Alligator mississippiensis: one gene and its partners. The protein of the gene in region 1 interacts with the protein of each later gene in a biochemical or structural test. Links are inferred from orthologs where the notes say so. Each region holds a gene or a part of one and is shown in the gene's direction. Other genes may lie near its edges.

Evidence for each region. The genes of interacting proteins can lie anywhere in the genome.
Region 2: of the proteins of RIGI (region 1) and RNF125, one has a biochemical effect on the other in vitro, tested with the Homo sapiens proteins (3 studies listed by BioGRID and IntAct, with this or other methods). The link is inferred for Alligator mississippiensis from reciprocal best matches to the Homo sapiens genes RIGI and RNF125.
Region 3: of the proteins of RIGI (region 1) and TRIM25, one has a biochemical effect on the other in vitro, tested with the Homo sapiens proteins (5 studies listed by BioGRID, with this or other methods). The link is inferred for Alligator mississippiensis from reciprocal best matches to the Homo sapiens genes RIGI and TRIM25.
Region 4: of the proteins of RIGI (region 1) and RNF135, one has a biochemical effect on the other in vitro, tested with the Homo sapiens proteins (6 studies listed by BioGRID, with this or other methods). The link is inferred for Alligator mississippiensis from reciprocal best matches to the Homo sapiens genes RIGI and RNF135.

Annotation. Positions count from the first base shown.
Region 1 is NC_081826.1:167,106,816-167,114,634, forward strand, and holds the start of RIGI (antiviral innate immune response receptor RIG-I), read left to right. Parts: upstream 1-4,809; 5' UTR 4,810-6,470; intron 6,471-7,228; 5' UTR 7,229-7,329; intron 7,330-7,634; exon of another isoform or gene 7,635-7,819. Other genes in the region: E3 ubiquitin-protein ligase Topors, read left to right, coding at 1-1,677.
Region 2 is NC_081826.1:81,058,998-81,066,332, reverse strand, and holds the start of RNF125 (E3 ubiquitin-protein ligase RNF125), read left to right. Parts: upstream 1-4,327; 5' UTR 4,328-4,342; coding exon 4,343-4,497; intron 4,498-7,335. UniProt on the Homo sapiens protein: E3 ubiquitin-protein ligase that mediates ubiquitination and subsequent proteasomal degradation of target proteins, such as RIGI, MAVS/IPS1, IFIH1/MDA5, JAK1 and p53/TP53.
Region 3 is NC_081831.1:7,643,651-7,651,537, forward strand, and holds the start of TRIM25 (E3 ubiquitin/ISG15 ligase TRIM25), read left to right. Parts: upstream 1-4,879; 5' UTR 4,880-4,946; coding exon 4,947-5,558; intron 5,559-7,887.
Region 4 is NC_081831.1:6,997,471-7,005,082, reverse strand, and holds the start of RNF135 (E3 ubiquitin-protein ligase RNF135), read left to right. Parts: upstream 1-4,604; 5' UTR 4,605-7,612. Other genes in the region: ADAP2 (arf-GAP with dual PH domain-containing protein 2), read left to right, coding at 1,000-1,062, 2,004-2,081, 2,591-2,809.

The DNA of each region.
Region 1 (7,819 bases):
GCTAGTGGGTGCTCATTACTGCACTCCCCAGTATCTAAAGATAATAAAAGTATCTGTAAAGGCAGCATGTCACCCTTGATTAAGACAGCAGAAGCGGAAAAGAGTGAGGAAGATAAAATAAGAGATGCATCTACTTGGGACTCTTTGCAGGGTTCCTCTACCAGGAAAAACAGTGTGTGCTCTCCATGTAACCATAGATTATCCAGAAAGAGGAGGTCAAGGAGTTCCGAGTCGTCTTCCCAGCACTCTCATAGCAGAGACCGTCACAGCCATAGATCCAAAAGGAAACATCGTAGCAAGGAAAGCTTAAAAAACCGATTACCAAGAAGCAGGGATAGTAGCGGGCATAGAAGTAAAAGAAACAGAAGGAGATCAAGAACTCGAGACACAAGTTTATCCAGAAAAAGCCTGACTCTCTCTCTAAGTAGCGAGAGCACTATATCTAGAGGTGTTAGCAGGTCACGATCCCGCAGTAATGGCCATAGTAAAAGAAGATCCAGGAGTAGAGAGAGTGATCACTATTATATAAGAGAAAATTACCAAAATAGGTATCAGTGGGGATACACTTTCTACAGTAGACGCATGGACAGAGATGGCTATGAGTCCTCATATAGAAGAAGGGCTCAGGCCAGAGCTCATTATTCAAGGCAGTCAGCAAGTCCAGAATATAGAATACAGTCTTTTTCGGAAAGGACAAATACACGAAATCAAAGAGGACACAATGAAAGCCAGTATTACTGCTATGAAAGACGCAGGTCAAGGAGTCGATCTAGTAATAGATCTAGGACCACATCTGGAGGGGCTGATAGAATGCGGTGTGAAAAGCCTGGTGGAAAAAGGAAATACAAGACGCGCCACTTGGAGAGTGTGCACAAGGAGAAGGCACCAAGCCCTTCTAAAGGAGAAGGAAATGGCCACCAGAAACCTATGTCAAAGTACAGTGGTTGCTACCAAAATGAGAACAGCCCTCAAGAAAACCAAGCAAGCAATGAAACGAAGCATAGAAAGAGAAAGAAAAAAATCAGAAGCCCGAGTGTGGAGATTGTATATGAAGGAAAGGCTACTGACACAACTAGGCATCATAAAAAGAAAAAGAAAAAGCACAAAAAACACAGAAGACACCATACAGGTAATTCAGCACCTCCTTCTCCAGTCGTGATTACAGTTGACAGTGATAGTGATAAAGAGATTGGAATATGTGAAACTGTGGAATGTGACAGTAGTGTTTCTTGGACAACCATAACTCAGTTAAACGAGCGAGAAAACGAATCTCCATCATCTCTCCTGGACACAAGCAATCATAAGGATGTATATGCAGTAACTGGTGAAACTGCAATATCGAACAAGGATCGTATTACTAACAGTAGGAAAGACCTGGCTGATGACATTGGAAATGTAGATCTCCGGCTCCAAAAAATATCAGATGAGCAGACTCCTGCTGTGGCTGTTAGCAGCAGCAGTAGTTGTAGTAGTAGCAGTAGTAGTAGTAGTAGTACATTGGGAATTGAAACTCTGCCTATCAATGTTGAAACTGCACAGATGGAAGCATCCAGCCATTTGCCTTCTCCCAGGACATCATTTGTAGATAACTCGGGGAGGCCACCATTAATATTAAGACTGCCAAAGAAACTTATTGACAGATCATACTGGCTTGACACTGCAGAAAAAAAGATGTAGCTTTTTTCACTGAGCTCTTCTTAAAATCATTCTTAAAATTATTAATTTGCTTAGACATATTTTTCCCTGGAAACAAAACCCTGGTTGTGATTTCTGTGCGATAAGACTGTTTAGAACATATCTGGGACATGTGTGAGATCCTTGAATGTATGCACTTTTAAGTACAAGAAAGTAGAATATTGTTAGTAACTTAAAAGTTTTTCAAAATAAACTTGTAAATTTTAGGAGGTGTAATTTCCTAAAGCCATACTGTATTCTCATATTATGTAAGATATAGCCACAAAATCTTTCAATATTGTGTCTTTTAAAAAAAAACAACCCTAAAGCCAGAACATACATTTTCTGCTGGTTTGTTCTTTTTATTTTATAAAAGAGAAATTGTATAATTCACAAAATAAATTCAGGTTTGGTTCTGCTATCCTCTTTGATCTGCATTGTTTCAGCTTGACTTCTGCCAAAAAAGTGCCAGCAATTTCTGTACAAACCTTGAACCAGACTACCATTATAGTAAACATGAATTCTGTTGGCGTCCCAATAAAGCAATAAGATAACAGATTTTAAATCCAGTGTAATGATCTTCCGCATGCCTGCCTCTTGTGGGCTAAGATCATGTGTCTCTTATCTTCAGACTGCTGTGTTGTCTCAGTGTAGGTGGAAAATAGTATATCTGAGACACAAATGTTTTCATTAAAAGTAAGTTGGCAAGGTAGAGGCCACACATCAAACGTTTCTTGTTTTCTAATGTAACTGAATGGAAGAATCGGAGCCTTTCACGTCTTTTTGGTTTTGTTCCTTTGTTTCTACCTACACTGTCAAAAGCTTCAGGATTATTACATTTAACTGTAGCCATTGCCTTTCCAAAATAACCAAAATATAGTGTGGGTATGTAGTTGGTTGCTACTTGACTTAACAGTTACTCAGTTTTTCTCTGCACCATGTCCTGAGTGGTTAAAAATAAATAAATAAAAGGCTTCTGGCTTTTCTGGCACATCAAGCACTGAAAGGCATAAATGTGCTTAATGTTTCATTGAAAGACAAGAACTTTATCATTAAATTCATCTGATCCAGAGTTGTTTAATTTTTTTGCCCCATTTTTCCTGTTGATTATGTAGGTCCTCTGGAATTGTGTGAAGGATGACACAAAAGTGAAGGATGAATTGACAGTAGCTAAGATGCTAGCAAGTGAACAAAATAGTTGCCCCTCACCCCCCAGTTCTAGTAATGTTGGGTTCCTGTGATAGCAGGTACAGACTTTTCATTTGTAAAATGGTTATTTAATGTAATGACTCATAGATTTGAGGCATCCTCTTGGAAAATGCCAGCTCTTAGTTTTCACTCAAAATTTTACTAAAGAAAAATAATAGAGCAATTCTGTTCCAAAGAACTCTGACCACAACAGGTCAGAATGTTTTTAGTGTTTTGAATTCTATTTAAAATCTCTGGGTTTATCTTGTGAATCAAGGTTGCACACCTAAGACTGCTAACATTGCGTGGCACTTGGTGACACCCTTGAAAGGGTTTCAAGGTATCCCAGTATGCTGCAGTTCCCTGGCTAAGAATTACTGGCGTAACATTTTAAGAAACGTTGAAACAGTAAATATAGGGTCGTCTTACAAAGTTCTTCATGTTCCTTCTGTAATTTTCTCTCTCTCTCTTTTTGTAAAAGTCACAGCAAACTTTTAGATTTCCAGCAAGAATAATTCAATTTCATTTGTCAATATCTTTATTATTTGGTTTTCAGTTGTTTTTAACTGTGGCCTTGTAAGCAGTTTGCTAACCTGTCCTTATTTCCATGGCCTTCTGGATGCATTATATACACTAAAATATCAATGAAGATGGCTCAGTTGCCATTATTACTGAACCATTAGGCTATTGCCTTTTGTGTTGTCAGAGCTCCCAGAAGGTCTCATTAATCATTCCGTGGCTGGATATTCATGCATGCACAATACTTCATAAAATATATTATCATATATTTTAATTCATGCAGTAGGTTCCTAGTGCCTAACAGAGGTGCCTTTGCACAATTTTATAAATAAATCTAGAGTATAACATCTAGACCTGTGAATTACAATGTAACTTGCTGCAGACAATAGAGTTTATGATCATAGGGCAAGACAAAGGAAGGATGTTGAGAGGTAACCGATTTTAAAAAGGGATAATTATTGCTAAAAAAAAATCTACAAAAGGAGGGGAAGGCATGGTTGGCAACATAAGGATAGTACATAAAATGGAGAAGGGGACAACGAGGAATAAATGCAGTCATGCAAGTGAGGGATTAGGTGTTTGTATATGGGATTAAATGGCTGGAATGTGATTCAGTTAGAGAAGGAAGGAAGATAGGAGAAAGATATTTGTAGTGGCAGTGATTTCTATGGATTCAGACTAGGATGGGTGAGGAGCAGATAGAAATGCCTGAGGGGTTGAAACCTATTCCAGACTAATGATAATCTGGTGTGGGAACTGTTGAGGCACATGCAAGAGGAAAATGTTTAAATTATTTCAATGCTATCTTTTAAGTTTTCAGTTTTATTATATCCTAGTGTATGCTAACTATATATGGAATACGCAGGAGCATGGTTACCCTATTAAAGTCTATATCTCTGGTTGTGAAAGAGCAAATGAAGTGAAGTTCTCTCTGATCTTTTAAAATAAACGCATTACAAAAATCCAATCTGTAAAGGAACAGTCCAGACTAAAACCTTATTTCTGTGTCTAAAAATGAACATGCTTTTACAAACACTCATCATTTTAAATGCTTAGCTGATTCTGTTGCTTTAAGTCAGGGCTGTCCAGCTGGCCGCTCATTAGGGGTTAAATTGTGGCCCCCTATGCCACAGTCGCTCCCACTATCACAGCACCCAGAGAGTCTCAGGGCTCCCTGTCCCTCCTCCAGCTTCCACTTCCTGCCTCTGTCCCAGGGAACGGGGCAGTGTGGAACAGTGCAGCTTGCAGGGCCAGGGACCTGAGGGTGAAACTGGGGTTCCTGCCTGCATGATGCAGCTGTGAAGGAGGAGGTGAGGAGTGCCCATGCAGTGTGTGGCCCAAGGGGCTCTTGGCTTGAGCTGGTATAAGGGCGGGGTGGGTGGGGGTGGAAAGCATGCAGCCTCTGACCATTTGGCTTCCAGGTGTGTTTATATTCAGGGACGTCAGTCTATTGGCTTCCACATCTTGTATGCATTTTGTACTTCCTCCCCTCCCCCCTTTTTTTTTTAATTTCTTTTTTATTTTTTTGAAGCAACATACTTAACTGTCCAAATCTTTATTAAAGTTGCCATAGGCTTACAACACCATTTGAAGGACTATCCTGGTAACTTCTAGCATAGTTGAGCTGTTTGTGTTCAGAATTAATGCAGGTATATTTTCAGGATCCCTCAGAAATTCAGTCTAGGTTATAACTTGCAGAACATGTTTAATTATTCTCTTTAACAATTCAGTACTACTGTTGCATATAGTGCTATATCTAAATCTAGCATATACCGTATAAAAATAGTATCTTCTTTGTTAACCTTGAATGCTTATATTTTCAGTGTAGTTTCAAGCTCCCTAATAATTTCCGATAGCAGAGTCCTGAAAAAGTATAATTGTCTATTGTTGATGATTCTTTCAGTGACATTTCTGCCTTAGCCCTCATATGGAACTGGTTAACCCAGTGATTCTCATCCAGAGTGACTTGAGATCCTTTTGAGGGTAGCACACAATTTTAGCATTAAGTGCAAACGTACTTCACAAGATAAACCCAGAGATTTCAAACAGGAAATCCATGGTGTTAAAAACATTGTGACGTGATGCCATCTTTCTGAGTTCTTTGTAACAGGAGAATTGCTCTATTATTTTTCTGTAGTCAAAAATGGGTGAAAACCAAGTGCTGACATTTTCTGAGGGGTGCCTAGAGTCTATAAAAGTTAATAACCATTGAGTTAACTGTTTTCATAATGAGAAACAATGTACTGTTAATGTGTGCATTTTTTGTATGGGATTGGACATAATGCAAGTGAAGACAGGCTTGAAATTTTGCTCTGTTTCAGCTCCTGTTGATTTCTGCCTATTTAAAAAGAGACTAGCAAGGTGCTTTCCTTTTTAGAAACTGTTTTACTAGACCATCTCTTGCATATTAGTCATGCCTGTGTACAGTGTTTTAATCTGGAACCTGACAAGGGGGATTGAGGTCTTTGTTGACTGCAATTATGTTTTTAATTTGAAAATATTAATCAGATATTTACTGCTCATCTTTTAAAGATGGTAAACAGTAGAACTTGAAAGTCACTGGCTAACACCTTTGAAGTGCTAAATCATCTTTTGCCTTCAAGTGCAAAGAGAACGTCTTCTTCATATTCACTGAAGCTAATGTTTCAGTTCAATGACAGAATTTATTTAAAGAAGTGCAGCTGAAACTTCTGCAACTGTAACTAGGAGTTGAAAAAGTAGAAAAGCTTCACTTTTCCAATTATGATAAAAAAAACTTAGGTGTATAGAAGTATAAGATCTTCTCATAAAACCTTGTATAATGCAGCAGGAGAAATTATTAGTTCCATTTCCTCACTATAGGTATGCTTCATGTGTTTAGCATCAGGGTTGTGCGAAGCTTCGGTAGCCAATTCAATTCAGAGGACATCGGCCCGATTTGGTGGCTGAAGCTCCAAATCAGAATCAAATCTGGAGACCCATTAAAAGCTCCAAATTGAACTGGAAGCCTCCGAATCGATTCAGAGAGATTAGGCACCAGTTTGAAGATTTGGCTGTAGACTGAACAGGCAGCAGTCCTTGACCACGCTGGACACAGCTGACTCCAGCTGGTAAGTTTGTTGAGGGGGGAGGGAAGGGTGGGGCAGATCAATGCCCCCGCAGTGAGGGAGGGATTGGGGCTGGGACAAGCTGCCCAGCTGTGATGGGGAGGCGCGGGACTCAGGGAGGGGGGGCTCAGGCCACCAGTCCAGGAGGGCATGGGATCGGGCATGTGCTCCCAGGCCGGCCCTGCAGAGCGCAGTGAAGCGGCAGCTATGGGGGAGCTCCAGCCACCCTAAAACTCCCCATAGCCTGCCACCAGCCCCTTCCTGACCTGGGTGCGTGCACCTGCCCTCATGATCGGCTGTTCGCCCAACCGGGGCACAGCAGGGCAAGGCCATGGCTTGTCCAGGAGGTGTGGTTAGGCTGAAGCGGCTTCTGATGCTGTGCGTCACTTGTCTGAAGCACTGCAGTGGCACTGTCCTGCCCCGGCTGGGCGAGCAGCAGGAGGGCATAGTCCCCGCTCCCAGAGCCTTCTGCCCAGAGTGAGCTGTGCCTGCGTTGTACTATTCAGTTGGTCTAATAAAAGATCCACATTTACCAAAAGAGCAGTGTTTGTCTATGTCTTTAGAGTGACATGGCTATAACCAGCACCTTCTAATTTCCTGTTGTTTTATTTATGTTCTTGAGAGGATTTAATTTGCCAAGCTGTCCTAACTCAGAAATCTGTGTAAACACCAGCTCTCGGCACTTACACTTGTTTCTTTGGAAGGGATTTTTGAATCTTAAGATTTAGGATCTTGCAGCTGATTATTTCAAATCTTTCTAGGGACAGAGGTGGAAGGAAGGAGAGGGGGAACTTGTTGTATCAAATCAAAGTTATTTGACTGCCTTTGAGTCAGCTGGCTGTGGATTTGCTTGCATACCTAGGTATGGCATGGTTGGTGTGACTTTTTTTTTTAAATCAGAACTCCTGGGGAGGTGATATCTTTTATTAGCCCAACCAGAGAGTTGCAAAAAATATTCTTTATTTGCAAGCTTTCAGGCACATGCACCCTTCTTCTTTTTCTTTAAGTAACTTTGGGAAAGTGAATATTTAGCTCACCCGTTTCCTACTTTGCTGCATCTGCTAGCGTCACACACTGGCTGCTACCCTGGCAGTTGCATTGGCCACACCTCTTTTGCACAGGCTTCAAGTTTCGGTTTCCTTTCTTCTCTTCCTCCCACCCTTACAGGCTCAGTCTGTTCTATTTTTTTTTCTTTGTCTCCGAGTCAGCTGATATCCAAGAAGCTATTCTAATTGGAGGGACTATGAATTCAATTTACAGCTGTACCCTTTTCCTTAAAGGGCTGGGTAGAAGATCCTTGCCTGGGTCTCTGCTGCTGCAGCCCTGAGAAGGGTGGGGGATTCCTTCCTCCT
Region 2 (7,335 bases), about 86 Mb from region 1:
TTTGTAATGTCTCGCTTTCCTCCACAGGATTCTAGATGTCATTCCTTTCACTTACCCATCATAAAACCCAGAAAGTGCTTCCATATCCTGCAATGGAATGGAATTACTTACTGCTTACAATACATATCAGCAATATATTGTGTCTGGGACTGTTCTCTGCTCCTAAGGAATGTGAACAGGTCATAATCACTGTTTCCAAGAAAAACACCAACTTTCTATCTATCGATCAAGTTCTTCTTTATCTATTATAATGAGATCTGAAATAGAGCTATTCCATGGGGAGGAAAGGGGAATATCTTTTATATTAGAAAGTTATCACCTACACTTTTTTAAACCTCTATACATTTTACTACTAGCTGTATGAGACTTCCATTTTATCTCTCCAGTGATAAAGCAATTTTTTGTTCCACACATTACAGATAGATGCTTAATTCCTTGTTAATATGTATTTTTAATAAAGTGAGATTTAATGGATTTCATACTTTATTCATGTTCAAATTGTCAGAGTGTGGTTAATCTTTAAGAATAGTCTAATTTACCAGGAAGGCTCTAGTCAGTCACGGATTGCTTTTTCTTGCATTGTCTTTGGAGATAATTGAACAGATAAACACTCCATTGGCTAATGGTACTGTTATCATGTTGCATCACTGAAGTTCGGGCTCATTGCCAAAGCGCCGTAGTGTCGTAGTGTCGCTGGGCATGAACCTTGATGGCAACACTACTGTGCAATAGTAACAAGCTACTGCGCAGAAGCATCTAAAAATAACTGCGCGGATACAGGACTGTGCAGTAACACTGGTACTAAATGACTGCAAAGTAACAATTGTGGAGTCGGCGGTTCGTGTAGATGCAGCCTCTGTGTAGCTTCAGACAGAAGGTGACTATTACAGTGCCTTGCCACCTGTGTATTTTGAGCAGACAGCTACTTTAGGAATGGCTGCAGACACACAACATGTACCCCGGAGTATTTAACCTCAATGTAGTTTTACCCATTATTTTTCCCTGAGTAATTCTACACCGAACTGAAGTGAGCTACACCAGCTCAGGTTTGTGCATCATAAGTTTACTTCTTAAAATGACAGAAATACACTGTGTGTCCGAGCCTCCCTCTCCTGTAAATCCACTGAGTTGTAATTTCCATGTGAGGCACACCTGCACTCCATGAGAGGATTGGCAGGAACAATAAAACTTTTTTTCTTATTCCTGCATTCGTCCATCCCCTAAAACTTCCTCTAACTTCATTATATATTTTGAGTACAATGAATGAAGGATTACATCCTGCATCCAGCAACAAAGACACTGACATTCTCTGTGTTCTTCTCATAAATAATATTACTTTTATTTGCCACATGCATTTCTAAAGTCTTTTGTATCAGTGTTGGATAAAACTATGCCAAATATACTTTTTCCCTTTTTGTTTCTTATTAAAGAGCAGGTTGCATTTTTTTATGCAAAGATACTGAACTACAGAAAATACTTATCCAAATTCATGATGATATTGACAAACTCAAAATATGTTAAGCAAATTAGGCTCCTTTTAATATGAAAAAAGAACAACAAATGGTACACTGTGCTAGAACCAGGTAGGAAAACAATCAGAAATTCCACTGACATAGGGAGGAAATGGAAGATAACTTCAGATTTCTTTACGATTTCTTACAGATTTCTGTTGCCCTTGTTTATAACCTGTTTCCTGATTTCCTTTGAATAACTAATTTCAAAACTCTGCCCCACCTTCTTTTCACGTAACGAAAGGGCTGTTTTAAAAACTATCTTTCAAAAGAAGGAGTTAAAAAAAATCTTTTATTTATAAAGTAATGTTGCAAATCATTACTAAACTGTATCCTAAGACAATGCTGCATAAATATACTGACCTTTCACCAGTACAGAAGTTATTTTATTTTACAGACCATTAATCAGTGAAACAACAATGTAACTATATCTGATAACCTACAATCTTCCTCCAAACTCATTGAGATTTGGAAACTAGCAAAAAGCAGATATACCAGGATGACTAACAGACTGCAAAATATTTACAGATTTAAAAAAAATAGTAAGAAAGTGTAAGCAAGCATAAACTGGTGAAATATTATTTTTCTTTACTCTTCTTACATGAGGATTCATTCCAGGATTCTTTTGCCCAGCCCATTTTAAAGAGAACTTTAAAAAAATTTAAAAAATTAAGTTCCCATTTTTATTTATTTTTATCGTACTTAGAAAACTAAAGGCTGTTCTTAAAAACAAACAAACAAACAATGCATTTCTTACAGTAGAAAATCATGTCTTGTTTATCTAGGAAGACTCTATGGAGAGGTAGTGAAGCAATGATTTTGAAAATAAAATGAAACCTGAGCTGTTGAGAGTGGAAAGGTCTTTATTCAGATCACTTGTAACAGTATTCTTTGTTAACTTTTGGAAGAACTTTTTATGTACTTTGGAAAAAAAGATATCTTTGTGAAAGATCCAACACTACAGGCATATTTAGTGAAGGTAGGAGAATTATATCCCTGACACACACATAAGCAATCCTCCATTGAAATTAGGGAAAGACCAGACCTGTGATACATGACAGTCAAAAGACAAACAAATAAGCAACAACAGCTTCCTTACATAAAAGCTAACTGAACTTTACTGTCCTCCCTTATATATCAAAAAGATACAAATAAGAAGGTTCGCAAACCCAGTTTTCCAAAATCCTTTACAGGTCACCCATGAGAGGTTTCTCTGGGTTATTATAACAAACCAACTTGTAAAAGTAATTACATGTAGGTATTCTGTTTACAGTATAATCTGCTGTGAGGCAAACAGCTCTGCTAATGCCAATATTTGTTTGATATTTTGGATTCCAGCCTGCTGGATTTTAAAAATCAGTCTTATCCAAAAGTTTTGACCCTTTCATGTATTAAAGGGTCTGTGAACTAGCATGACTAATAGAAAAGGGTTTTTTAAATATCTAAATACAAGTGTCTTCTCAGATGAGTGCCTTCTCAGATGCATCTGCACTCCAGTGCAGCTGCCCCAATGGCTGCATGAGGCAGAAGTGGGAGGAAAGGGAGGGATGTAATTTGTATTTCTTCTGTGCTTCCAGAAGTTAATCTGCTGCATAGCTGTCTGCTTCTGAAACAATGAACCTTTTGACACTAAGGACAAATTTTAAGAAATTGCGGTTCCTCCTACATTAGCAGCATCAAGGTCCCTGGCATAGCTAATCTGTTGCTTGTTGCTTCCATTTTAAGCACACCAGGCACATCTATACGAGACGCTTTACTGCACATTACAATGTCACTGCCTATACGTGCATGGGATTTACTGTGCAGTAAATTAGGCTAATGCACCATTAGCTAATAGCAGGAAATAGAGGTACTAAATTAACAGTGCATTACCTACTGTGCAGTAGCACACCGAGTCTGACCAGGCGCAATTTGCTCCCTGTCAGCCCAGGCTGCCTGGTGAAGCCCTGATGTAGGGGAAGCTGTGCCCACTGCAGGGGAAGCCGTCTCCCTGCCAAGTGGGGATCTGGATGGGTCCTGATCCCCATGTGCCCGGAAGAGGTGTGCTGGCAGCAGGGGCAGCAGTCTTTCCAGCCATGTGGGGATCGGGACCTGTCTGGATCCCTATGTGGCATGGACGCAACTCTTCCAACTGGGCAGAGATCAGGACCTGCTCCCGTACCCCGGGGGGCAGAGGGAGCTGTCCCAGCTCAGGGGCTGCTCCCTCACAGCTGTGGGGAGATCAGTTTGTGCCCTATGTATCTATACAGGCCACACACACACACACACACACACACACACACACACACACACTTTGGTTATGACATATATATATATGCTACATATACATAAAGCACAAGTTTTCATGGGTTGAAGCTTCCTTCACCAGACGCCTTCTCCTCGACTTCAGGCTATCCCAGCTACCTCGGTCTGTCACGCCACCCCGGGCATCAGCACTGTGACTGAGAGAGGCCTGCTCAGAAGCACATCTAACCTAAAGAGGAAATGCGAAGGGGAGCCTTGGGCATCTGAAGTGAGGGTCCTTGTTAGCTCGGGTGCTCTGCTGGGCACGGCTCTCCTGTGCAGAGTGTCACCTGGTACAAGTATCCCCACCTAAATAGCTCAGGGGAAGCGCAGGGAGGAGCAGGGCCTTGGGAAGCACAGGCAATAAGCAGCAGGGTCGGGTCCTGCCCCAGCTCAGGGGAGCGCAGAGAGCAGCAGGGCCCTGCAGGGCTGGGGGCAGGGAGCGGGGCGGCCGGCAGGGCTCGGGTTTCAGGCGGAGGACGCTGCAGGGCCGGGCCAGCCCAGAGTGACCTGGGCGGTGCGGAGGGGCGAGCGGGCAGGCGGCGGCCATGGGCTCCGCGCTGCGCAGCGAGGCGGCGGCCGGCGCCCCCCAGCCCCCGCGGGGCCCGGGCGGAGCTGCCGAGCCGCGGCCGCCGTCGTCCTTCGACTGCTCCATCTGCCTGGAGGTGCTGCACCAGCCCGTGCGGACGCAGTGCGGACACGTGTGAGTGCGGCCGGGCCCCGCCGCGCCGCGGAGCGGGGCAGGGAGGGCGGCAGGGAGGTTGAAGCACGGTGCCTGCGTCGCAGGGCTTTCAGCCTGCTCCCCCGGGAACAGCAGCGTTTCTCCGCCCGTGAAGGGCAGCTCTGCAGGGGCAGAGGATCGCACGGCTCCCTGCCCTGCCCGCTGTGCCACGGAGGAAAAGCAAAGATCCGGGGCTCCTCCTGCCAGCTAACCCCAGCCAGGGACAGGCACTTAAAAGAACCAGGTAACCTTTGAGGCTTAAAAACAAAGGAGCTAGAGCAGCTGGCAGGGCAGGGGTCCCAAGGTGCCCCCTCTCCCTTGCCTGCCCATGTTTCCGTAGTGTTTTCAGATCTTTGGGGGCAAAGGGCTGGAGTGGAGTGAGGAGTGTCCTCTGTATGGACATGGACAGTCCCTCCCCTCTGCTGAGCAAAGGCTGGAAATTTTGGCTCTGCTTGAGTTTGTCAACATGAACTGGGGTGGAAAAAAAACCCCAAAGCTGTATTGCAGAGGTTGCCAAACTTTTTCTTATTGCCTACCCCCTTCCAGATTTACTAGCTGCCCATGTAACCCTAACAGCATAGGTTTTGTGTTTTAATCCTTTAAATGCCAATCATTCTTATCATGACAAATCCGCCATTACACAATTTCTCCAGTGTACCCCCCAGAGATGTGTTGCATACCCCAGGGGCACATGCACCACAGTTTAGGAACCCCTGCTCTATAAAGGAAAATGCACGCAAGGATTATAGAGATAAGCACAAGGCCTTTACGCCAATCCATCCTCTTTCTATAGCCCTCATTAAGGTTCATTTGTTACCTCTGGAGTCATTCTGGCATAGCTATTTCAGATGGACACAGAGTCTGGACACCATTCTTCATGAATAAGAGTGCCTCCATTTGGCTTAGCCTACTGTGCTTGGAAAGTGGATTAAGTAAACAAGTATACTTATGGCACTCTTGCTCCAGAAGGTTTATGTAGCTGAAGGCTCCGGTTTAAATAAATAGACTGTTCAACCAGGAAGCCTACTTAGATGGATGAGAGATGATGAATATCGTTATTCATATGGTTGTCTAGATTGGATACTTGTACCATTTTATTTGGTTTTGTGTAACAAGTGGATATTTGTATTGTAACATTTTATTTGGCTTTGTATAACATTGTGTGTGGTTTTGTGTCATTTCTCCTTACTGTTTTCTGATAGGCTCATTATTTAGTAATCCGCATGTAAATAATGACTTCATCTTCACAGTTTGTAAAGACTATAATACTATTTTTATGCAGGAACACATTTAATGTAGTGCATTTTTTTTAAATATATTCTGTTACTACCAGTTTCACTCTTAAATAAAGACAGCTGGCTAAAATGTTTTTAAAATAGTCATTCCAGAATACAGACAAATAGAATGATGTTTTTAAACCCTCCTCCTCCTAAAAAATGCAGCAAAACCATGAAAAAAAATAAAACCAGAAGAACAACAACAACAACTTTTTTCCACTCCTCCTGGGGGCAGGAGAAAGGGGCAGAACAGGTCTGGAAGGACAGAAGGTGGAAATAGAGGCATAACAGGCCCTGGACTCTAGGTAGTGCAGCTACTTGTGGTGGTGGAGCCAACTGGCAGCTGCAGCAGCTGCTGTTTTTGTATCCCCCCTCTCCCCCCAGTTATGCTACTAGATGGAAATCTAACATAAATTACACAGATTGATCCTTTTAAAGCCATTAACTTCAATAATTATCTCCCAGATCTGATTGACACAAGTCATTTAGATTGCCAGTGAGTAGTTTTAGGGTTTGCTTTCATTGCAATGTTAATCTGAGTCATGCCTCAATTGCTGCCCCTAACTTGAGACCTAAAACTTTATCTCAGGTATGGATCAGGGTTACCTTAATAGCAGCCTAAGGAAAAAAGAATAAACCTGTGGGGAGTACTCACATGAGTCTCTTTACAACTGTGTATTTTATGCAGACAGCCCTGTGTGGCAGCACAAATCAACCTGCAAGATGGTGAAAGCAAGTATTTAGGTAAAAAGAGGTATGGGGGGAGAGGGTGGCATTATAGGCTTGATTGTTTTGGCTCTCCTCGGCTTCCTAAGGATTGGTCAGATCAGTAGCCACCCCCAGAATCTGTATACCATAAAAGGAGGCATATAGCCAGTTTTGCTGCTCCCTTCTCCAAGTGAATGGTGTGTGGCTTCAATGAAGCTCAAAATGCAAAGCTCTACTGTCCTTGTATCTGAGCAGCTTTGTTTGCACTGTTTACTCCAGCAAGCACAGGGAATACATTGCACTGGTGAATTGTGACACGCTTGTTGCAGGACAGGCATGCAAGTAAATCATCCCTTTCTGGTTTCATTCCTTCCATGCCATTCCCATGGTCTTAAAAAATAATGTGTTATATAAAGCTAGGACTTGAAAAAAATTACCAGATATTTCAATCAATTGTCCAGATCATATATTGCTTTTTCTTTTTTGGGGAGGGCATGGGGGAGGGGGCTTTCAACAAAGTTCAGGAACAATATCCTGAGAAGTTTAGCTTTCTTTTTTTTCAGCTCCACACTGGCTGTTCTTAAGTAAACCAGTTCCTTACTTACATTTCTGTTGAACAAATAATGTTGAATGGCAAATTGTTTTAAGGTTAGAACCTCAGATATACACCAGTGTTTGTTATAGCTGAAAACCTATCCAAACTTTTTATAGGGAGTGGTGGGGACAAGATACAGAGCAGTATAGGAATATTATCTAATATACCTTGATATAAAGCCTTTCATCCTTTCCCTTGGTGATGATTTAGCAGGTAGGGCAAACAAAAGGGTCAGAGGGC
Region 3 (7,887 bases), on another chromosome or scaffold:
AAATTGCTGTGTGTGGCTAGGAAGGATTATAGAGGAAGAAAACGGAATAGGGACCCTATTAAGTCCGGAGGAGGGCCTTCCACTAATGAGAAATTCGGGATGGAGTAAGGGGGCAATCCTCATAAATACCATGAATATAATTCCGGGAGGCATGTATCCCGTAACTTTAGCTGGATTAATTGCCACCGAGGTAAAAAATCATTTGGGAGCTCTAAACTTTCCCCAAAATTTAGAAGGGGGTATGAATAACATCAGGTACATAATATGGGGAATTAGTTTTGCCCATTGGACAGCACCCCCAAACACCCTAACCGCAGTACAGCAGAGATTAAGGAATGATTGTTTGTTTATCAGCACTTCTGAACAAGTAATTTGCTTGTCGTTAGAGGTAGCAGCAAATGTACTGAAAACTCCAGGAGTAAAAGCCTGTCTACTGCCGCTGGTGGGGCAGACACCCTGGGAGGTAGCTGATCAAATAGGAAACATAGTGCAGGAGGAAGAAATCAAGAAAAAGCCCAAATTAACAATATAGAACACCATGTGCACGCTCCTTACCATCCACAATCTAATGGGGTTGTGGAGAGACACACTGGTATTTTGAAGACACAATTGAAAACAAATTTAAAATCAATTTCCTTTAAAAACTGGGATGCAGTATTGCATGTAACCTTAATTCAGTGCAATAATGATAAAGCCATGTGGTTGAAACACGAAAAGAAAGAATTTCCAGTGTGGACATATAAGTATAAGAAAGATGATAAAGTGTGCATACACTTACCCAAAGAAGAAAAAGTAACAAAAGGTGGAATTGATCAATTGGGGAAACTTCCCAACATTTATTTTGTTTAACTGAGGAAAATCAAACACTAACCTCATGAAGCTAGGTCTCATGAGGACCTAAGCAATCATTTAATTTTGTTACAGGTGTCAAGGATTGAAGTGGCAACAGTGGGAGATCAAGAATGAAAATGATCCCAGAGATGAAAACTGGATGTGGCTAACCAATGCAACATTATGCAGACCAGTACCTAGACCACCCAACGTGATTCTGGGATATAATGCTGACGTATGGAATCTCACAATATATCGTTTAACTTGGAAACTGGACAATTAGTGATGTTGTAAAAGGACTATGGAGAACACATTACTTACCTGAAATTACTCAACGCCAGCAAGATCCTCAATCCACCATCTGCTTCGGTGTTAGAAGGACTAGCCATGGTTGGAAATGCAGTGGGGAATAGTGTTAAATCTACTATACATGAAATAGGATCGATAGGACAACAACTATGGGACACCATAAAGACTGTATTTTCGGGAAAATGGGTGATATATGTTATAATAAGCATCATAGGATTGTTTGGGTTAATCATTTTAGGAAAATTAATGTTGTGTATGTTGTCATGGAATTACCGTAATAAGTTTGCAAGGCTTAGTAATGAAATATAATTGTAATCAAACTGCCTAATGGGCACAGGGGCATGTCATATTGAATGAAATAGTTTGAATGTTTGTAATGGTTGCCCATTAGCCAGTTTCAGGAAGAAGACAAGATTTATCTTCTTATCTAGGCCATTGTTTTGGTCTACGTGCAGAAGGTCCTGACTTTGCTCAAAGTCTTAACTTTTGAATTTTAGCTTTAGAGGCCTTTAACAAAGAGAACCTAAAAATGACCCTTAAGCAAATATCCCGAATTCCGAGAGATCAAACCCTAGGGCCTTTGAAAAAAATTGGAAAGAAAAGGTCACTTGCAGTGGTATGGAAGTTCCCCAAAGTAATTAAAATGATCAACAAAAGAAACTAATTACTAAGCAAAAGAATCTGTTGAGAAAGATCCGAGCCCAAATTTGGGAGTAGTGACAGGTTTGGGTCAGAGGGGCCTAGGACGGCAACTCACTCAATAAAAACTGTAACCTACTCTTCCAGTTTGGAGGTGACTTCACTTGCAGAACAACGAAGGAAGAATCGCAAGTGTAGACCAGATCAGACTGATCACCTGAACCACCCTCTCTGTGAACACGAATCTCTTAGTTCACGCTGAAGCTGCAGAGCACCCAAAAGGGACTGAAGGAAGGGGACTTAGTCCTATCAGTATTGAGGCCAGCCCATTGAATCGTATTGCTGAGGCGAGCCCATTGAACCGTACTACTGAGGCCAACCCATTAAATTGTACTACTGAGGAATGAAACCATATTTAGGTGTTTGGCTTCTCGGAATTCTAGGATTGTAAGTATATTATGAAAAATAATAGTATTGATTCAAATTTAACTTTTAGTTGTAATTGTAGTTGTTTTTGTAATCTAATTCTTATAGCATTGTTTAGGAAGGAAGTGCATTCGGAGCATTGTTTCCGATATATGTAATTATTGTGTTCTTAATGTTTGTGGTATTTCTTAAAGCTAAGCAGTGTTATATGCGTAGCAAAGAATTTAAAAATAAAATTGTGTTGTATGAATTAAGTGTGTAATCATTGTGAAATCGTGCAATCAACTAGATACTCCCCCAGCCAGTGCATCAAACGAATCAGTAAGTTGTGTGGGATCTTCTCTATTCCATAACCCACTAGAGACACAAGACTTAGGCACTGTTGCCAAGATGAAGTTTCCAAAGCATCGCCAAGAGATTAGATTCCAGTTGTCCTGGAAATGATTTTGATGGGATAGTAAGAGAAATTATACATTTGAGTTATACATTTGAGTTGCAGTTTCTCTTGCTAAACACTCAAATGTCTGGACTTTCCATCTTGGAGGAAGTTAAGACCGTTTTGGTACGCACACCCTGGTAAAACAGGTACTTTACAAACACATGATTGGACTTGACCACAGCCTGGAAAGAAAACACTTTACTTTCAGGCAGACTCAGCCCCACACACAGTATTAGTCACCATTTGCATTTGCAGATAGCAGCTGCTGTGTGTTCTTGAGTTTTCTATCAGGAAGCAAAACGGGAAGTGGGTGAACACCGACCTGAATGGCATGAACCTGCCTTACTGAAGCAGGCAGATGTGGCCAAGCCCAGAGCCCAATCTGGTCAGCCTCCACCTCCCAAAGTTATACCGTGCCTTTGGTTTAGAAACCAGACCGGCAGCTCAGGAGATCAGACCCTCAAAAGACGTTCTATGGTTACAATCAAGTCGGGCACATTGCAAACCTAGCTTCCTAGTGGTGAGACTCCATGACTTCTGCAAGCTGGACACGAAGCACGTGCAAAAAAAGAAAGACAGCTTCCCTCTGGGTGTGGAGGAGGTTTCTATTTTTATTGTGATCGAGTCAAGTTTGTTCATCCCTCCCATAAAGAGCTCTTAAGAATGTCTAAGCGATAACCTTCCCCCCTGAGTCAGTGTGAGCCACTCCCAGAGCGATGCTAGAGCACAGCTTGCGGGGAGGGGGGCAGAAATCTGAAGGGGCCTGTAAAGATCTTGCCCACTTGTGTTAGTAAAGCTATCATGCCACTTTTTTCTGCACATGTAGATGTTCTTCTGCTTGGTCAAATTCAAACTAGCAATACAGGAGTCACACAAGCGCACCACAATCTCACTTAACAAAAGCAAGGTTTGAGCTTTCGTGGCTTTGTAAACAAGCTGATTTTTTTTTTTTTTAAAAGGTCTCATGATCTTTAAGCCAAGTGTATCAGGGGAATCTGACTCATGCTCTCTAAATGCATGGGGCTGGCAAGAATACGGATAAGGCTTTTCATTCCCAGCCCTAGGCTGCTGTATACCATGCCCCTTTTCACACTTTTGCCACTCATCCCTACCTCTTGCCCGTGTTACCAGGTTTGGTCAGCAACCTTTCAAACCTTCTTTGAGATCCTTGTAAGATTTGGGAAGTGCAACAATGTCTGACTATTGTCAAAACGCTGGTGCGCAGAAAATGTCATGTTCAAATGGAACGGGGGGAAGTGGTATGCGCTTGGCTATGAGCCATTTGCTCTGACTGTGCTGCTGGTCTAAATTAAGGCCATTTCTCCCCCTGTTTGAAACAGGCTGGCATGATAAAAGAAGCATTGAAATTCTAGCTAAAGCAGAGCTTTTCACTTGCTCCTCCACCTAAGGCAGCAGACGAGGGTTTGGCTCTTTTGAAGAACAAGCAACATTTTCCTGGCCTGAACAGGGCCCCAGGCCTCCTGCTACCAGATTCCCGAAGGCAGCGATTCCCAAACTCTGACAGATTGCGCACCACTGATTAAATTGACACGACCTGAAGTACCACCAGCACATTTCTGTCCTATAAAGTAATTAAAATAAGCCTGTTAACGCGTACCCCTGACAGGTCATCTGTGTACCACTGGTGGTACCCGTACCGCAGACTGGGCGCTGCTGCCGTAATGCTCGACCTTTGGCTTTGGAGGGCTGGGTGGCCAGCTGAGGCGCGTGGCCCTGATCCAGCACCTAGAGCGGGCACAGCAGGGCCCTATCCGGCTGCACAGAGGGAGCCAAGGGGCAACCTGGCCTGCAGAGGAAGGGGCACGGCCGGACTCCCACCCAGCCGCGCAGGGAGAAGGGGTCGCTGTGCTGGGAGACGGCGCGTGCTCCCCACCACGTTGGCAACCCTGTCCGGGGGGCACCTCAAAGACCCCCGGGGCTAGGTTGGCCAGCCCGTGCAGAGGGTGAAGACCCGGGAGGCTGCGGGGCGGCTCGTCCCGGCGCCAGAAGCCCCGCCCGGCCCGGCCGCACCTCGGGAAGGTGAAGGATACATTGTATGCACAGCTACATACAATGTATGCACATGTGTATATACAATGTATGCAAAGATTCACATACATTGTATAAGATATATAAAACAAAGAGCAAAAAGTTTTGCATCGTCCCACAGCGCGGATTGAAGAGCCCCGCCCGGCCCGGGCTGCAGAGAGCCCGGCCCGGCCCCGCTGCACGTGATTGCCGGGAAGTGCCTACCTCTGCCTCTGCCTCCTAGTTTCACTTTCCGAGCCCGAGCCGCAGAGCCATGGCCATGCTGGCGGGGCTGGAGGACGAGCTGACCTGCTCCATCTGCCTCTGCCTCTTCGAGAGCCCCGTCACCACCCCGTGCGGCCACAACTTCTGCGCCGCCTGCCTGGACATCACCTGGGCCGGCCTGCGGGACGCGTTCAGCTGCCCGCAGTGCCGCAGCCCCTTCGCCTCCAAGCCCGAGCTGCGCAAGAACACGGTGCTGTGCCGGGTGGTGGAGCAGCTGCAGGTGGGCACCAATGCCCCCGAGGGTGGCGAGCCCGAGGGCAAGAAGGGCTGGGAGCCGGAGGGCAAGAAGGGCGGCGAGCTGGGCCCCTCGCAGGTGGCTTGCGACAGCTGCCCGGAGGCGGTAGCCGCAGTGCAGACCTGCCTCACCTGCATGGCCTCCTTCTGCGCCGAGCACCTGCGCCCGCACCACGACAGCCTGGCCTTCCGCGTGCACGAGCTGAGGGCCCCGGTGCACGACCTGCAGCAGAGGCTGTGCCGGGACCACCACAAGCTGCTGGACTTCTACTGCCCCGAGCACCAGAGCTGCATCTGCTGCATCTGCCTGGTGGGCCACAAGGCCTGTTCGGCCAGCTCCCTGCCCGAGGCCAAAGCGCAGAAGGAGGTGAGCGGGTGCATGGCGGTGTGTGTGCATATTGGGGATGAGGACCCCGGGGAGCAGTCAGCAGCCCACCAATTCCAGGAGGATCCCTCCCTCCGCTTGTGGATGGGGCTCGAGGGAACTTAAAGAGCGCAGGCCTCGAGCCCCCCATCTGGCTGCAGAAGTTGCAGGTCTTTCCTCTCAGCTGGGGGAAGAGCAGGCTGCAAGATGGGAATCCTCTCCTTCTTCCCTGCTTTGTAGACAGGACACTTCACCTGGGAGCAGGCTGCTGCTTGGTTGAGGCTGCTGTGCCCTCGGGAAGAGGTGTTGGCAGCCAGCAGTCATCCATTTTGGGGCTGGGCTTGCTGAGCCGTTACTTGATATCCACCCTTTCCCCTGTATCCCTTGTGCCCTTCCCAAGATCGTAAAATTGCCCTAGGAAGCAGGGAGGAGCCTCTGGAGACTGGGGCTAGGGGCAGCTTGGGAAGCATAGGCTCCCCAGGGGCCACAGGAAGGGTGGGCAGGGTTAGCTATGCCACACCGCAGTGGCTGCACTGTCTCTGCTGCCCTTTGGAAGTGCTTTTTCCACCCAGGGCAGGAGCGTAGAAGCAGTCTTGGATGCTCAGAGTGCTGCCTGCCCGGTCACAAGCCCTGCTTTGCCCAGGTGCGTGCGCTAAGCGGGGACACAAATAGATCTGCAGCTGTCATGGCTGTTGGCTCTGAGCTCCGCCACATCTGGCTCCCCAGGCACGGTGTCTCAGCTGGGGACAGCGCTTGAACGCACACGTCCAGGACCATCGCGAGATGGCGGAACCGCTCTGCCCTGGCCCTTGCCCTCTAGCAGCAAGCTCAGTTCTCAAAAGGTGCTGAGCCCCCAATGGTCCCTGCTGAATCAGAAGCATTTGGGACCACAGAAATCAGGCTGTGTATCTGAATCTAGAGGTGCATTGATGTTCAAAGATGCTGTGGGAAGAAGCAGAGATCAGAAAGACGTCTCAACCCACATAATTAGGAGAGAACAAGTTGGGGCTGGAGGCGAGGGTGCGAGGGGAAGAATGGGTGGAAATTGCAGCAGTTGGGGGCATGAACAGCTGGTGCATCCGGTGCTGGGTATTGCCCTGTTAGAGGAGGGCCCTGCCCTATGACTCCTTCGCATGCTCTTGGCTACGTCCCCGGCGTGCTTTAACCCCACAAGCCCACACAGGTCCTGGCTTGGGTGGTACCACTCAAGGACTTCAATCTGACGCGCAGCTTTAGGCATCCCAGTCTGACAGCTAACGGCTTCCATTTGTATTTTGGTAATCACTGGAGACTAGCAGTTGAATCCTGTGCTTTGTTAGTAAAGTGGCAACTCTTGTGACTCACTGAATCTCAGCAAGGCCTGCGGGAAGGGTGGGCAGGAGCATGAACCTGCAGGAGACAACACAAGTTTGTCCCCCAAGCACTAGCCCAGCTTGTAGCCAGCTCCTTCCCAGTGGCAGGCCTCTGGGTCTGCCTATACAGAAGAGAGCTTTTGCCAAAGTTTTCCTTAAGACGTTAAGACGTGGGGAGTTCAGGAGCTGCCTGGTAAGGCTGTGCAAAATTTCACCGGCAGTTTCTTTTCGACCTCGAAATGGAGAGCTTCGAAACAGCTTCAAAATGAAATGAGGCAAGTCAAAACATTTTGAGTGTGGAAGCTCAAGCTGGGCTTGCCTGCAAGGAAACAGAAACTAAAGTAAGGAGAGGGAGGGGGAAGCGGAGGAAAGGAGTGCTCTCATTATTGACTGTGCAACTGGCCAGGACTTTGATCCTTTCCTGAGATCCCTTCCAATCCCAGTGCTCTGGGGGAGGGATGGGAAAAAAAAAAAAACAGCATAAAAAAAGGCAGCGTTGTTTGAAGTGCCCTGCTTTCTGCATTGGTGTCAGTTGAGTGAGGGCACACCTTAACACGTACCCCCCTCCTGCCCATGTCACAAGTTTTGCCTTTCAGCAGCCAGAAGTGCAGGGCTCCTGGGTTCTGGGGCCCTGCACCTATCTCCTGGACAGCTGGCAGGCTTCGTGGCCGCAGCAGGGGCCAAAATCCCTGCAGCTGTCACCCCGCTGTGCCTTAGCGCACACAGTGTTACCCACGTCACGAGTTCTGCTTGTCCACAGCTTGAGGTGCAGTTCCCCTGCACCTAGATCCTTGAAACTTGGCAGGCTTCATGGCCCCAGAAGGGGCTACCATTCCTGCAAGTTTCATCCAAATCAAGCCAGAAATGACAAAAATTATAGGCTGTTTTGAGCTCCCCCATTACAGCCTATGGGTGGGACATCGAAACAGCAAAACTGTTTTGATGAAACGAAATGAAACAGAACAGCAGTTTCGAATCGA
Region 4 (7,612 bases), on another chromosome or scaffold:
GCTAGTAAGGTTTGCGTGCGCAGGTAGTGCTATGTGGGAAGTGGTGCTGTTGCACGCAGGTTGAGTGGTGAGCCAATGTGTGGTTGGACAAATGCAACTTGTGTATGTTAGCAGTTGTTTAATGGAAGCAGTAATAGTGAGTATGGCTCATAATCCTCATTTTAGAAATATATCATGGCTTTTCTAGCTCAAAATTGAAAATCAGTAGCATAATTTCATTTTTGCTTTTTTATTAAGCATTTTCCTTCTATAATTTCTCTAATCCCTTGTTCCACAGCTTGCTTAACAGTCAGTTATGATCTTGCTTTACAAGCACCAAGACTCTTCCTCATCTCTCTCCACTGACCTAGTTGCAACCAATCTCTTGGCACCTGGGCAAGAAGCCACAAACCCTTTTATACTTGTGTTTATGAGAGCACACAGATATTTACCTGAAGAAGCATCACAGTGAGCGCCATACAGAGAGGAATGTTACAATATGTTACTTATACAATGAGACAGACACTCTCTGGATTCTCCCAAACTAATCTGACAGCGTCCAGGCTATTTCTGGGTTTCGACTGCAGCCTCCCTCCCTCTCTCCACTTTTGTTGCTATTGCAGAGCTTGTCTTCACAGCACATTATTATTATAATAGTTCATGTTGACCGAGTGTGGGTAAAATTAACTTCTCATCGTTCACTTTAACCAGAAAACAGTTTCAGTTTAGCCCCAAATGGTAGATTATTTTTTGCAATGATCAAGTCATTGCAGAATGGAGGAACATCCTGTACTTAGTGCACAAAGAGTAGATCAAACTCAGGAGCTAAATACATCCACATTATCTGTTTAAAATTTGACCTGTAGAAACAAAAACATCTGTTTGTTTTTGCTTTAGACCTCCCTTTAATACACAGATAAAACAGATCACAAAAACTGTTGATGATTTGCTCTGATAAGTTAGAAGAGAAAGCTGAGTTTTTAAATGAGATGGTAGCCAATGTCTTTTTTGTTCTTCTAGCTTGTACCCAAAATTACGAGGAGTTATTTCAAAGAAGGTTACATGGAGAAAACTGGACCAACGGTAAATTCCACCTGAATGTCATGGCTGATCACCATTGAAAAGCTTAGCACTAGCCAAACATAACTTTTTTTCCAGAAGCAGAATGTTTACTAATGCTGTCATGATTATGATTAAACAGTTTGCTGGGAGCTGTAGTTAAGTGCATTCCAGTTAACCTGGATAGACTGAGTCTCAGTTTGTAATGAGCACTGGGGGTTTTTTTTTTCCACTTTTGCATGAGATGTAACTTTGAGGGCTCGTTGCAAACTGCAGGTGTGATGGAATAATTGGAAGTATTTCTGGAGTTGCAAAGTTACTAGTATTAGCATTGAATGTGGGTGGCTGTCATGTGCCCGTCTGTTGATTGCAACTCCATCATCACAAGATGCCCACTAGAGCAGAAACTTCCAGGCAGATTCCTCTCTTCCAGTGCACATTCTTGTTGTCTCTGCATATTCTCTGACTCTGCCTACACACCCAGCCTCCAGCCTGTGTCAGTACTGCTAAAAGGATCATCAGTGAAATACTTCATGCTGGTAGTGAATATGTCATTATTAAACTTCATCTCTCTCAAACCTTTTTGCAGTGCCTCATCCTGCAGCTTTACTATAGCAGGTCACATGTGAATTCTTACCAGCCAAAAAGGCAAGACTTTTCTTGACTGAATGCTTACAGCAGGGAGAAATGGTGCTGAACCCTTAGTGGGGCTGTATAGTTTAGTGTCAGCTCTGGCTTCCAACAGAAGGTTTGTACATTGGTAAAGAATTCATGGTGTCACTATTGTTAACCTTGAGAAGGAAGAGAGCTGAGGCTCTAGGTGTGTTGGTGAGTCATGGAACTGCATGAGAAGCTGAGAGTGAACCAGAGCATAGAGTTAGGAGGAGGTGGCCAAGGAACTGCCACGAGTGAGTGGAGCCCTGCTCCTGGGAGCTGGATCATTAAAGAGCTTATTCTTTATCTAGCACAAGGAGGTCTTCAAGAAGCGCTGGTTTAGCTTGGATTCACAGGAGAGGAATCTGATCTACTTTAAAGACCCATTGGTAAGGAGGACTCCTTATTTCATGACCAGAGCTGCTTGAAAGGGGCTCTTCATATCATACTGATCCCACCATGCATGTGATCACAACAGCTCTAAAATAATTGTGCAGATTTTCAGGAGAGTTGTGCACCTCAGGAGCTGAGGTGTTTGGAAAAGCTGGCCTGGGAGGGAGGGTGCTGACTGTTCTGGCTCTTTTGAGGAGTTTGTATTAAGTGACTGAACTTGTATCTCAGGTACTAGGGCGTATGGAGTCAGCCACCTCAGGTCACAGGGCAGATCCTTGCCCTCATTCTTTGTGCTTGGGCAAGAAGTTAGTAAGTTGGTGACAAAGACCAGAGAACTCAGCTCTCCTAGTCCTCTGTGTTGGGAATGCTTTGAGTCCCATCATACCTGGAGCCATGGTAGTGTTCCCTCCAAATTAAACCTACTTCTGCTGCCATCAAATGACAGTCTGATGTCAGCTTTGAGCAGCTGTGGATACCTGCGACTATCCTGCTTTCTCCCTCTAAGGATGCCTTTGAAACGGGCCGAGTGATTATTGGAAGCAAAGAGCATGGGTACGAAGTCCGGGCCAGCTTGCCCAGAGGAGTCAAAGGAAGGAGGTGGAAAGCTGGACTCACCATAGTCACACCAAAAAGGGAGTTTGTATTTGCATGCGAGAATGACAGGGAGCAGAAGGAGTGGATGGAGGCTTTGAATGAAATAATTTCCCAGCCCATGACTGCCTAAGGTGAGTGATGAGTTCCAGGAAACAGGCCTTCTTGGTTCACTGTTACATGGTGACCTTTTCTCCAGGTAGCTGATACAAAGGTCATATCAGTGAACACCGTGGGTACAGAGGCTTCTTTCCTCTAAAGATGCAGATACAGAGTTGACAGGAGAGGGCATGACCCAGGCAGACTGGTGTCCTTGCAGAGCTTGTGGGGGTCACTGCAGCAGGGGCTCAGTTCAAGGTAGCTATAGCTCAAACTGGAGACTACACCAGCCCCGTCCTTCACTCCTGGACAGAAGTACACGCAGCCTCTGCCTGTTGCTGATCTAGCCCCTGTGCCAATACAGGGATGAATTGGCCCTAGTTGCTTTATGAAAATGGAAGTATGTGAGCTTAAAGTCATGACCAGCCAAGAGATTTACAGAGATGGAATTACAGTTGTCCTCAGCATACCCTCCGTAACTCTCCCAACTGCACAGGAAATATTCCATGGAGCCTTCATCTTGAATGAGGCTTATTGCCACAGCTGAGAGCAGGAGAATGAATGCAAGAAGGGTCTGAGCGAAAGGGGGATGCACACGTCCAACTTGTCAGGGTTCAGAGGGTTAAAGTAATGTACAGTACTCTGAATTTGCAGAGCAAATCCAGACTATAGGTCCAAAGTGCAATTCCTGCCCTGTCCTGGGTTCAGCTTTCTGTCCAGCCCAGCTCTGCTTAACAGGAGACCTGGGGCAGGGAAGTAGGATAGAGGGTCGTGGCTCCCCATTTCTGGAGCTGGCTCTAACTTGCACCCTTAGCCTCAGCAGACCAATTCAGCTGTCAGGTGAGCTGGGGCAGAGAGTCCTTTGGCTATGTCCTCTTCCATAGCCTTTCCTTCTTTGGGCTTTGAGGTGCAGCCCTGGCTCTGCTGCCTGAGGCTGTCGCAGGCCAAGTGGGGGTGTATTTAGATGGTCTGTTCAGCTGGATTTGTAGCCAAGAGTTTACTTCTTGATGTCACATGGAGTAAGTCATAAAAAGCTCTGGGAAGCATTAATTTTCTTTGTCTCATTCACTTTGCATCAGAAGCCAATTTCAGGCAGCGCTGACAGCCAGTCAAGTTGCATTTGATATATCAGTTGAGAGGAAAGATAAACTACGATAAACTGAAAGATGCTGGTTTTTGCTGTTGTCTTCTCTCAGATGTAAGAAGGATTCCAGTTTCAGGACATATTCGTTCCTTGGACTCTCTACTGAGACTGTTTAGCTCACAAGAGCAATGGTGATTGTAGGTATGACCTCCTGCACTCCAAGAACCAGCCTGAGACAACCGACCTTACTTCCTGTGGGGCATCAGCAGCTGTTACATTATATTACAGCCTTTCAGCCACTTCTTACATGGACTGCATGAAGCCAGTAACCAAGAGATGATGGGTTGTGTATTCTGGGGTCAGGATCCACTGGGTGCCATTTTCAGGAGTGCCTAGCACTGGCCTCATTGAACTTTGCTCTCGTTGAAGTCAGTGCAGCTTTTACCATTGACTTCAGGAGGAAAATGAGGCATGAGCTGAACACCTGGACTTATTAAGAGGTGCTGAGTAGCTGCAACTCCTCTTGGCTTCACTGGATTTCTCACCTTCTCTCAGGACATGAACTTTTTATTACAAACCAGTCTCAGGTCCTTTGCTGTTTGTATTTCTGATAACATAAATCCCAAGTTCTGTAAAAATAAAAGATAGTTTTACCTTACTCAGACTGCTATAATGTCACATTAAGACTCTCCAAGAATCTCAGTTATCATCTGCATTTTGCAGCTTGAGAATCTGACATACAGAGGAGTCGCCAGTTTGTTTCCAAAGCAACCACTGATTCTGGGGGCCTGAGGTGAGACATCTGGAGCTTGTTATTCAGAAGTGCTGAGCTCTCCTGACTCTGGGAAGTTCAGCTGGAAGAACAGGTTCTAGATTCTCTTACCAATTCTGTCTGAGGTGGGCACAGAGTCAGATGCCACTTTTGACGTTTTAGCCAAAATACTGGGTGCAAGGGCACTCCGTGGCAGAGTCAACCCGAGCAGGGTGCAGGGCCTGGGGCAAGCCCATGCAGGGCCCCACCCCTGCTCCAATCCCATGCGCCCCAGACCTGAAGAGGCTACCGCTGCCATCTGTGGCGGGGGGGAGCGAAGCCGCCAGAAGCAGTGCGGAGTCACCACGGCAGCTCCACCCAGCTCCAGGGGGCTCCCCAAAGCGTGGGGCCTGGGGCGGCTACCCCGATTCACCTCCCCCTAGGGATGGCCCTGCTCAGTGGGTCAATGCCAGTGCTGGGAGCCCACAGTGCCACAGCCCGGTGTGACTGCTAATGGGAGCAGAAACATTGCTGTTCTGATTTTACACCTATTCTGTGCAGTGCTGAATGAATACAGGGAACCAGCTGAATGAACTGCCTCCTCTCCTATCACAACTAGTGCTGGGACATGTCAAGAAGTTCAGAGGTTTGGTTTAACCAAGCAGCCTAACATCCGTTGCTTTTCTTATCTGAACTGCTTACATCTGCAAATCAGGCTAGTTGGGAGACGGCCCAAGCTTCCTGATCTATGACAATCAGGCTGAAACGCTCAGAATAGTTCCCTCTCTTCTAGCTGGAATGAGGAAGTGGCCGTGTGTGTGGGGATAGGGGAACTATTTCTACTGAATGTTTTTTACATTGGAAAAAAAAAGATTTGGCTTAGATTCTCATTGTACTGCTCCCAGCTTGCTCATCCACACCCAGCCACAAGCAATCTGCATCTTTTCTTCTCTTTGTCCCCCCTCATAAACTGGCCTTTGGAACTACTTGTCCAGGAGCCTGATGAATTATGCTGGTGTCAGTTCTCCTACCTTTGAAAAATCATTGGAAGGAAGGAGAAAGCAGCCTCATCTTGCATCTGCTGAAATTGACAGCGAAGCTCCCGCTGACTTGAATGGTGTGTGGTGGCTGGTTTTGTTTCGGTGTTGATTCACATGTTTATTTTTAACCGTTGAGATTTTATCTGAGTTTATTCAAAGAGCACTGCAAAATCAAAGACTACATCAGTTCTCTAGGACTGCAAGGAATCTGTAGAGCATCATGCATAACGCAGGTGACAACATTTTGCCCAGTAAAAGCTTATCTCTACACTATCAGCCCTGATAACTGCTGGGGTGCAGAAGATCTGCTGTGTCACCAGCTCTCCAGGGAGTTGTTACAAACTGGATAACTCTCTCTGAGAACTGTATGAATGCAAACACAGCAAAACTTGTTGAGTTTCTATTACAGTTTTGTGGGGTCTGGAAAAGCTTTGCCTGCCTGGGATCATTTCCACATTTGAAGCAGAGAGAGGTCTGAACCAAGTTCTTGGATCAGAGTTCCCCAGAACTGGGGAGGTTTGAGTGGAATACTGAACTTGGTGGCTCAGATCTCCCTTGTTCAAGTGATGGTTTGGGCTTCCATTGTGACAGGTCCTGGTTACAGGCAGGTTCCTGTTCTATGCCATTTCAACGGATCACACTCTGACATGTGTTCATTAGCACAGGTTGAGTTTTTGTTTTTATTTTTTTGCAATCAGGATTCATGGTAGAGGTGTTATCTTTTATTAGACCAACTAGATTTTCTGCAAAAAGAAATTTCTTTAATTGCAAGCATTCGAGTGCAAACACCCTTCATCAGGCATTGCAGAAAAGACTGCAAAAGTTCTCCTGGGTAGAAATTAAAGCTCATATTTCATAGGAGAGCTGAAGGTGGTAAAATCTCCTGTTTGGAAAAGTTCATTTTATATGCAGATTAGGCTCAGAGAAAAGTTGGAATAGCCTGTTTACCTCACAGTTTTGTTGGTAAGCAGGATGAATTCATATTTCCTTCTGGTTATGGTGTTTCATATTTAACAGAGGAGTCAGTAGATGGGATGCTTCTCTGGGCAGGAATTTCTTATCAGGTGAGGCCTCTGAGCGTTGATGTGAGGTTCTGTGAAGATAATTACCTCAAACAAAGGCAGGAGTGGTATCTCTGGGCTTATGTACACACCATGATTTTTGCCCTTTCATGGGCTGCAACTATGTGTCTGTTTGCATGAGCAGGATTTCCCCATGCTTTAAAAGTCTATCTTGTGCATTAAACTAAAACTCCTCAGTTGTAGTTTAGTTTGGCTCTCTGGGAATTAAAGCATCATTCATGTCCATGGATTTGTTGGGTGCAAACACAAAGGCACCTAAAGATGTGCAAAGGAGCCTCTTTGTCCACCAAATGGCACTGCATATTTTTTTTTGTAGTTCACCCCTTCAAATTGCTTTTACTTTCGAATTGCTTCCACTTTTTTTTTCTTGTGTGGCTTTTTCTTTTTTTTCTTGTTTGCTAGCTCCCTGCTTCCACAGCTGTGTTGCAGGGCACAGGCACAGGGTGGGTTGGGGGAAGCAGTGCTGAACTGGGACCCAGCTTAATTCGTTTGAAAACTTAAGTGTGTGTTAACACAGGTGTGATGCTCCAAAATAAACAAGTTTAAATTTTATAAACATTTAATTTAATGAGGATTAAAAAACCCATGGTGTGTACAGGGGCCCTCTGGTTTCAGGTGGTCAAAGGTGCTTCCTCCTAGTAAAATTATGAAGATTTCATTTTTTAAAATTGTGTTAAAAAAAACATTTTAAAAATGTTATTATTTTTTGAGTTTTTTTGCTTGTTCCTATTAACATATTGTGTCCTTTTCAGTATATCTGAAACTCTGAGTTACTATTTAAAATTTTGTCTACAACAAAGAAAAGAGAGAACTCTCCATGCTGTTGATTGAGCGGCAGATCCTGTCTTCCATAGAAGACATAGGGGTTCCGCTCTTTTCA